Callithrix jacchus: one gene and its partner. The protein of the gene in region 2 interacts with the protein of the main gene of each other region in a pairwise test. Links are inferred from orthologs where the notes say so. Each region holds a gene or a part of one and is shown on either strand. Other genes may lie near its edges.

The links. The genes of interacting proteins can lie anywhere in the genome.
Region 1: the proteins of CCNDBP1 (region 2) and SYF2 interact in binary tests that used the Homo sapiens proteins (3 or more experiments, as listed by UniProt). The link is inferred for Callithrix jacchus from reciprocal best matches to the Homo sapiens genes CCNDBP1 and SYF2.

The regions. Positions count from the first base shown.
Region 1 is NC_133508.1:61,950,487-61,955,241, reverse strand, and holds the start of SYF2 (pre-mRNA-splicing factor SYF2), read left to right. Parts: upstream 1-1,770; 5' UTR 1,771-1,803; coding exon 1,804-1,827; intron 1,828-2,059; coding exon 2,060-2,167; intron 2,168-3,206; coding exon 3,207-3,332; intron 3,333-4,437; coding exon 4,438-4,555; intron 4,556-4,755. UniProt on the Homo sapiens protein: Involved in pre-mRNA splicing as component of the spliceosome.
Region 2 is NC_133509.1:30,923,799-30,928,762, reverse strand, and holds the start of CCNDBP1 (cyclin-D1-binding protein 1), read right to left. Parts: upstream 3,171-4,964; 5' UTR 3,106-3,170; coding exon 2,997-3,105; intron 2,832-2,996; coding exon 2,772-2,831; intron 2,493-2,771; coding exon 2,413-2,492; intron 1-2,412. Other genes in the region: TMEM62 (transmembrane protein 62), read right to left, coding at 4,026-4,352. UniProt on the Homo sapiens protein: May negatively regulate cell cycle progression. May act at least in part via inhibition of the cyclin-D1/CDK4 complex, thereby preventing phosphorylation of RB1 and blocking E2F-dependent transcription.

The DNA of each region.
Region 1 (4,755 bases), on a different chromosome or scaffold from region 2:
ATTTATGCAATTGAAGAGAATTAAAGTAGTCAAATGACTGTACTAAAAGTTAGACAGGGTAGTCAGGGAAGACCTGCTTCTTTTTATTTATTTTTTTAGGTGGAGTCTTGCTCTTATTGCCCAGGATGGAGTGCAATGGCAGGATCTCGGCTCACTGCAACCTCTGCCTCCCGACTTCAAGCAATTCTCCTGCCTCACCCTCCCTAGTAGTTGGGATTACAGTCGCCTGCCACCACACTCGGCTGTTTTTTTTTTTTTTTTAATTTTTTGTATTTTTAGTAAAGCGGGGTTTCGCCATGTTGGTCAGGCTGGTCTCCTGACCTCGTGATTTACCGCCTTGGCCTCCCAAAGTGCTGGAATTAACAGGCGTAAGCCACTGCGCCAGGCCATTTTTAAAAAAATTTATTTTTATTATTTTTAAATTTAGAGACTGACTTTCACGTTGTTGTCCAGGCTGGTCTTGAACTCCTGGGCTCAAAAATCCTCCGCCCTCGGCCCCCCAGTGCTGGGATTGCAGCCATGAACCACCACATCTGGCCAAGACCTGCTTCTTGGAGGTGACAATAGGCTAAGCTCTAAATGGAAAGAAATTTCTACTCATGGGAATGAATCCCACCCAGGTTTTCCCGGCCCAGGGCTGACAAAACCAATTCACTAAGTGCTTAGTGCTTAGCACTATACTAAATGCTACTGCAGTAGAGTTGTATTAACGTGAGGCTGGCCTCAGGGAGGAAGTTACCACTCAAGTGTTTTCCGGAAGGCTCAGCTCAGAGGTTAGGGTTTTCAGAGTTTGCTGTGAGCAGGACACTAGGGAATGGGTGCGGCTGACTGGTTGGAGATGCCACCCATTCAGCAGCACCGTGAGTCCGCCTCTGGGTGGAGGAGTGGGGCAGATGAACCGATTGGGTTATGAGACACGAGTCTGGGTGGGGTCAGTTAGTTGACAGAATGAGAAAGTCTGAAGAATGCCTCAAAAGACCAATCTTGGCCGGGCGTGGTGGCTCACGTCTGTAATTCAAGCACTTTGGAGGCCAGGGCGGGCGGATCACCTGAGGTCGGGAGTTCAAGACCTGCCTAACCAACATGGTGAAACCCCGTCTTAAAAAACAACAACAAAAACAAAAAACCAGTCTTAAGTTCTACAATAAGGACGTTAACTACAGGAGTAATTGGATAAGTTACACATCCGATGTCCTCCGAAACAATAGCTGGTTATCATTCAACTACATTTTAGCAGAATTCAGGGCCCTCTCGGATTCCTAGCCTCCTCTTTCATTAGTTATACACAGGCAGTTTCAGCCCCTGAATAGGGAGGGGGCCCGTTTAAGGGAGGGACTATGATCATCCTTGCTTAAAAGTTAAACTATAAATTCTCCCATATTTAGCTTGGCTTATGCCCAGGAATGAGCGAAGACAGCCAGCCTGCGAGGCTAGAAGCAAGATGGAGTTAGCCACGTTAGATTTCTCTCACTGTCTTTGCAAAGGCGGTTTCCAGGAACAGCGTGCAGAGTAGATGATTTTCTACCAGGGTCCTTTTGGTCATTTCTTCCTAGCTGTCCGATTCTGAGCTGTTCCCAACACTTTTCTTGACGACTCATCTCCCCGTCCTTGCCCCAGTTGCTTTCCGCAGCGGCGCAAGACCCTGCACAATCGAAAACATTCCACAGCGAAAACGGTTCCAACTTCCGGAGGCCGCCCGGAAGGGGCGGGGCTTATGGTAGTCTTCATTACGTATCGGCCTGGTTGCCTGAAGGTTGACGGAAGTGCTCTGTATTGTTGCCGGAAGTGGGAAGAGAGGTTGCGATGGCGGCTGTTGCTGCATCCGAGGTGAGTTAGACGACCCCACACCGGGGGTTTTGTTGGTGAGGGTTGCGGGGAGCGGCCTGGGAGAGAGGTGGAGGCGAAGTCTAGTTTTGCTTCAGGTCGGCGCAGACACTGTGGGGTCGAGTCGGCGGTCTAGGCCCTAGGCCCAGCCTGTCGGGGCCGGCGGGGACTCGGCCTGGGCCGTCCGGGGAGAAGCCGAGCCGGCTCTGCCTGAAGCCAATTCTCCTCGCCGCAGGTGCTGGTGGACAGCGTGGAGGAGGGGTCCTTTGCTGCGGCGGCGGAGTTGGCCGCTCAGAAGCGCGAACAGAGACTGCGCAAATTCCGGGAGCTGCACCTGAAGCGGGTGAGTAGTCTTGGAGGCCGGCTCAGATCGGTCACTTGGCCAGGGCCAGGCGCTTTTGTAGAGGGGGCGAGGAAGCCACACCACTGCATCTGACAGACCCACAGAACGGGATCATCTGAGATGAAAGCTGTATCCGGTGGCAGCACATTGGGATCATATAAAAAATAAGCCAGGCATTGTGGCACATGCTTGTAATCCCAGCTACTTGGGAGGCTGAGGCATGAGACTTGTCTGAACCCCAGAGGCAAAAGTTGAAATGAGTTGAGATGGTGCCACTCACTACACTCCGGCTTTGGTGACAGAGTGAGACTCTGTCTCCAAAAAAAGAATTGAAATTAGAGTGTCTTTCACAGCATGTGCTGTAATTCTTTTCTTTTTTTTTTTTTTGAGATGGAGTTTTGCTCTGTCACTCAGGCTAGAGTGCAGTGGTGTGATCTTGGCTCACCTTAAGCTCTGCCTCCTGGGTTCAAGTGATTCTCCTGCTTTAGCCTCCTGAGTAGCTGGGATTACAGGCATGTGCCACCATGCCCAGCTAATTATGTATTTTTAGTAGAGATGATATTTTGCCATGTTGGCCAGGCTGGTCTTGAACTCTTGACCTCAAGCAGTCCGCCTGCCTCAGCCTCCCAAAGTACTAGGATTAGAGGCGTGAGCCACCTCACCCTGCCAATTTAATATTATTAAATGCCCAATAAAGTCTACTTAAGTGCCACTATAGTATGGTTCTCCCATATTTCGAAACCTTGTTCTGATGCAAAAAAAAGAGATCACACAACTCATAGAGGCAAAGCTGATTTTAGCCTCTAGTGCTCTGGAACAGCAAACCAGTGCAACTCAACACATTTTTCTTGACTGCATAAAAATGTAGACCCTATTAGCCTATTCCCTAGCTTAAGATCCCATGATTGCTCTCTATTGCTTTTAGGATAAATAGGGTCACCTTATGATATGTCTTGCTTGATCCTCTTCAAAGCAGGTAAGATGTATCTGGATTTATTTTCATGTTTTAGCTGACACACTTCTTACGTTACAATTTTAGAATGAAGCTCGTAAATTAAATCACCAAGAAGTTGTGGAAGAAGATAAAAGACTAAAATTACCTGCAAATTGGGAAGCCAAAAAAGCTCGTTTGGAGTGGGAACTGCAAGAAGAAGAAAAGAAAAAGGTTAGGAACTATTCTATATTCATAAGTGATTTATTTAGTCATTCTGTTATATCAAGACACTACAACATAGTGGTTGAATACACTTGCTCTTAGGCCAAGCTGCCAGAATGAAATTCTGGCTCTGCTTGTTACCAACTGCAACATCTTAGGTGAGTTTATTTGACATCTCTGTACTTCTGTTTTCTCATCAATAAAACGGGGACTATAGCAATAATTATTTGAGTTAATTATGAATTAAGTGAATTAATGCATGTAAAACATTTAAAACAAGGTCTGATACCTGATAAATACTCAGTAAGTATCATGTGCTCACTTATATACCATAGTATATTCCCAAATTTCCTTTAAATATTATTATTTTTTAAATTATTTATTTATTCTTTTTTTGAGACGGAGTTTCGCTCTTGTTACCCAGGCTGGAGTGCAATGGCGCGATCTCGGCTCACCGCAACCTCCGCCTTCTGGGTTCAGGCAATTCTCCTGCCTCAGCCTCCTGAGTAGCTGGGATTACAGGCACATGCCACCATGCTCAGCTAATTTTTTGTATTTTTAGTAGAGATGGGGTTTCACCATGTTGACCATGATGGTCTCGATCTCTTGACTTTGTGATCCACTCGCCTCGGCCTCCCAAAGTGCTGGGATTACAGGCGTGAGCCACCGTACCCGGCCCCTTTAATAATATTTAGTAATACTTAAAGGAAGGGCCGGGCACGGTGGCTCACGCCTGTAATCCTAGCACTTTGGGAGGCCAAGGCAGTTGGATCACATGAGGTCAGGAATTTGAGACCAGCCTGGCCAACATGGCAAAACCCCGTCTTTACTAAAAATGCAAAAATTAGCCAGGCATGGCAGCATGTTCCTGTAGTCCCAGCTACTTGGGAGGCTGAGGGATGAGAATTCCTTGAACCTGGGAGGTGGAGGTTGCTGTGAGCTAAGAGTGCACCACTGCAATTCAGCCTAGGAGACAGCGAGTGAAACTCCGTCTCAAAATAAAAAAACACTGTTAAAGTGTTGCTTGATATTTATTGGATCTTTCTTGATTTAAAGTAAGTGAAATTACTGCTTGTATCATAATTGGAGGTATTAGCTTTTTTCTTCTATTTAGGAATGTGCAGCAAGAGGAGAAGATTATGAGAAAGTGAAGTTGCTGGAGATCAGTGCAGAAGATGCGGAAAGATGGGAGAGGAAAAAGAAGAGGAAAAACCCTGATCTGGGATTTTCAGGTCAGATTGACCTTTATTGAACTGTACTTTATTGGCTGGGCTGTTAGAGAATCATTTCCTTTATTGTCTCTGGTTTCAAGAAAGGATGTGCCTCTTGGCTTCCTTCATGGGATATTCTTTTCGAGGCCCAAGACCAAAAAAAGTACAAATATGTCTCTTAGGACAGAAATGAAAAAAGGCTGTACTTCAGTTAGCTGGGT
Region 2 (4,964 bases):
AAGTGTATTGGGACACAGCCATGCTCATTAGTTTAAATGTCTGTAGTTGTGTTTGCTCTACAAGGGCAGAGTTGGGTAGCTGGTTACAAAGTCTAAAGTATTTACTAACTGGTCCTTTACAGAAAAGAGAGAGAGAGAGACAGAACAACTGATGGACCAGCCTCTATATTAGTCCATTAATCTCTCTCTCTCAACAGAATCACAATATGTAACCAAAGGTACTAGCATGTACTCAACAATGCTCCATGTTGACTATTTTCCTTCTAAGTGGTCACTGGCTTTCTCATCTTCCTTGTCCTCAATTTTCTGTTAAATTCCAAGTCAATACTATGCAAATGTGGTCCAGATTGGTGCCAGTCTACAAACTGTTTGTGACCAGTCAGGGATGAGATAAGGACAGTGACTGAGAGTGTTTAGAAACTTTTATGGCAATTTGACATTTCTTCAACATCCAAGCACATAATTTTATTAAAGTATCAATCCATACAGATTGAAATTTTAAAAAAACTCATCTTTTAGTAGGACTAAAGTGGTGAGATCCCAAGAAGACAATGATGATTCATGTGTATATATATGTGTGTGTGTGTATACATACATGTATATACAATTTGAATATATTTATATACATGAATATTTGTACATATTTCAAATAAATCCATATTCTAATTTTTCATCTATGAGTATAACTACTATCCTGAGCATGTATAGAAAATCAGTTCTATGCTGCCTCCTCATGGTATCTTACTTGCAGTGAGTTTTAGCAACAAATCCCAAGTGTATTTGAAAGAAACAGGTTAGCAGATAAGAAAAATAATATTAACTACTCTTTTTGAAATAAGTAGTCTATTTCCATGATCTTTTAAAGTGCTCTCATACAAATCATCTCGTTTCCTTGTTGCAGATCTCAAAGGTAAGCCAGGCACAGTGGCTCACACCTGTAATCCCAGCACTTTGGGAGGCTGAGGCATGTGAATCACCTGAGGTCAGGAGTATGAGAACAGCTTGGCCAACATAATGAAACCCTGTCTCTACTAAAAATACAAAAATTAGCCGGGCATGGCGGTGGGCACCTGTAATCCCAGCTACTTAAGAGGCTGAGGCAGGAGAATTGCTTGAACTCGGGAGGTGGAGGTTGCAGTGAGCCAAGATCTTGCCACTGCACTCCAGACTCAGAGACAGAGTGAGACTGTCTCAAACAAACAAACAAACAAAACTCAAAGGTATATAGGGGGAGAGAGTTTATCATTGTAGGTACACATAGCAGAAGATATTTATATTCTTTCCAAACACCTGTATATATAGACTGATAAAATTGAAACTATTGACTGAAAATCAAATAAAGCAATGAATATGCCATTTTACAAGAATCTTACTCCCATATTAAGGATACACAGCTCTAGAAAAACTGAGCATAGAGCATAGCTGGTCATAGCCAACATGTTTACTTTCATTAGTTTTATCACAAAGGAATACTTAAAATGCATAAATTCTTTGTTCTAGCAATTCCACTTCTGGGATTTTTTTTCTCCTTATATACACACATAAACAGAATTAGGTAATTCATCACAGAACTGTTTGCAGTAATTGTAATTTGGAAACAGCTTAAATGTCCACATATAGTACTGCTTAAATTATGTTTATATCTACTCTATTGAATACCATGCAGTCATGACAAAGAACTGAGCAACTTTATAGGTACTGCTAAGAGTTGATTTCCAAGACATATTGTCAATTTCTATAAAGAAAGGTCCCAAACAGTGTTTATGGTATCTTATCATTTGTGTAAAAAGAAGCTGACATATACAGATAAATGTACATGAATGTATATATGCACAGAATATATGTGGAATAATGCAAAAGGAACTGGGGGAGACAAAAATGAGAAAGTGGGTGGGAAGATAAACTTTTAGTATACTTTACTTTGATCTCTTTTGAATTTTATACTGTCTACATGTTACTGCTTAAATATAAAAAAATTCAATATAAAAAGGTTATTATGTAGTATAACAGAATAAGTATAGCTTAGACATCAGGTAGATCTTGATATAAATCCTACCTCCCTTGGTTTTTAAAAAAATCTTAACCTGTGCATCTGAGCCTGCTTGCTCATCTGTCTGATGGCCATCAAGTATGTGAAAACACCCAGCAAATAAAAAGTGCTTAAAAAATTATCGGAAAGGAAAACAACCAGGGTGAACTTCTGATTGAATCAATATTTAGAAGACCTGCCTACTCCGCGTCAGGAACTGCACTTTGCAATTTGGTCTTCACATAATCGGGTGAAGGAAAAACTGTAACCTCATTGGACAGATGAAGATAAATCTGGCATGCATGTAAAAGGTGGAAAGAAAATGAGAGGATTCCTAAATGTGTAACTCAGCAGCACAAGGACTCCAGGAAAGTGAAGCCCACCTGTGGAGATGGCAGTGGAAACTGAGAGAAGACTGTGGTCAGAGTCGTGGCTTCCCTTGACACCATCACAGCTGTCTCATCTGGGGGGTGGCAGAGGGAGAGGCAGGTGCCAATATGTTAGTGCTGCACGGACTTGGAAGAAGCGCGTTCCCTTACCGACCGAGACTTCTCAAAAACATCTCCCAATGTCGATGTTAGAATTCTATTTCACTCCCTCAGGTGCCGAGGTGGATAAGGCATCCCACAGAAAGGATGCAGCGGGGGAGGGCAGTCACCTCCCGCGGTGGGGAGTAGGAGGGAAAGGGGTTGGAACGCTAGAGAAGCTGAGGCAGGGGAGCCCGGACAGAAGGCGCACTCACTGAGTCTTCTCCAAAACATCTCTCGATTAAACTCCTCAGTAGTCTCCTGGGCTTCGCCGACTGGTGGGTGTGGCGTTGGGGGGCCGAACGGTGGCAAATAGAAAAGCTGAGGTAAGCGGAGCCACCTCCCTCGCCCGAGCCCGGCCTCTACCCGACCCGGAGCCCGGCCTCTCCCAGACCCCGAGCCCGCCCCTGCCGTCGCCCGTTCCCACTCCGTAAGCTCACCCCGCACTCGAGGCAGGAGCAACCGCAGCTCCACTGCCAAGTGCCGGAGCTGCTCCAAAGGCGGAGCCAAGGTGGGGACTGCGGTTGCAGGTGCCCCTGCGCTCGCCATCCTCGTCGCTCGCAGAAGGCCGCAAACACAGGCCTCTGCCGCCGCAGCGGGAGTCGCACTGTGACAGCCGCTCTACTTCCGGGTCGCTGCGTCTGGGACTCCTTTCCGGCAACAAGCCGCCCCGCCCCGCCCCAGAGACCCGGCCCCGCCTCCTCTTGCCCCACCCGACCCGGATCCCAGAGGTCCCGTACCTTCCATTCCATTCTCAGACACCAGGCCAGGCCCCGCCTCCTCCTCCCGCCCCACCCCGCCCGGCTCCCAGAGGTCGTGTACCACCCATTCCATTCTCAGACGCCAGGCTAGGCCACGCCTTCTCTCGCCCCAGAGGCCCCGCCACACAAGAAGGCTCCGGCCCAAGGTATTTATTATTCATCATTCATTCATTTATATAATTAGTTGAAAACACTTCCGACTAAGGAACCAGAGAGCCCGCAATCCTGTGGGAAAATAGACCAGGGAACTCGTATCTCAGAGGTAGTCGGGGTCGGATCCAGATCCTCACAGGTTCCCTGTCCCTGAAACTGCGCCTTTGACAGCTGCTGAATTCTAAGCACAGCGGTAGATGCTTTATATGGGGTAGCCATAAAAAACACACTGGGTCTCAGATACTCCCATACACACACACCCAACCCCTACCCTGTGGGTGTCCTAGATGAGGGTTTTCTCTTCACCATAGTAAATCAACCCTTTACCTCCTTGGGGAGGGAAGGAATAAAAGCATCATTTTTGAGACTTTTCTGCAGTCCACTCTGCAGGTTATCAGTAGTGGGTAATCCCTCCAACATCCAGGAGTCCAAGGAGCAGCAGCTCCCTAAACTCACCCACTAATACTGGCCTTCCACCTACTACCGGGGTGGAAGCCTGGGCTACATACACAAAGGCTGGGCTTCTGCCCAGCTGCCAGTGGTGAGACATGGCCTTCAGGAGTTCAGGTGGCTTTTTAACTGCACCATGAAGATTCCAAGCTTGGTGGGGTTCAGTGTCCACACACAACGAATGAGAACAGGTGTCGACAATGTCAACCAAGTCCGCAAAGGGGAGAATAAAAAAGCTAGGGTGCCGTATGTTGCATAAAGAAAGTAGCAGGAATAAACCTGCCAGATGTACAGCAGCAGCATAAGTAGGTGAACTGGCATAATTTTTAAGTATTTTCTTTGATGGAGATGAGACCTGAAGTTGTGACCAAAGCACCGCTGCAGCAAGCTCCAACATATGTAAGCCATCAAGGGGATGTTAAAAAACGCCAACTGGAAAAGAACAGAAACATAGCTTACTCCCAAGTCTTTGGAAGAGTTTGGTCTTAATAATGCGTTACTGATGGATTCTAAGAATATGCTGCTTTCTGTCTTGGGGTTAGCTAATTATGCTTCAAGCACAGTTGCTTATAACACAACAGCTAACCTGCGCCTAGTTGTGTATTTGCCCATGTCCTTTTATTCACTTTGAAAGCAGGTATCATTTAATTTATGTTGAGGTCCCAGTGGTGTTAAGCTGGAATTGAACTAAATGTATACACACACATTATACATACAACACATATACATACAACAAAAGGTCCATTATAGAGCTTATGCATTCTAACAGTGAGAAGAAAGACCAAAAAAATAAACAAAACAGATAATTACAGATGGTGATTAGTTCAGTGAAGGAAATAACTGGGTCATGAGAAGGTAACTGGGAGAAAGGCTCTCAGAGGCCAGAAGGACAGGAATGAATCAAGAGGATGGAAGTACATTCCAGGCAGAAGGAACGAATGAAAAGCCCAGAGGTGGGAGAGGTCTTGGCAAGACCTCTTGCAGAGTATGAGCCAGGTGGAAACTGGGGCAGTCAGCAGGACCCAGATCACTGCTCTGCTTTAA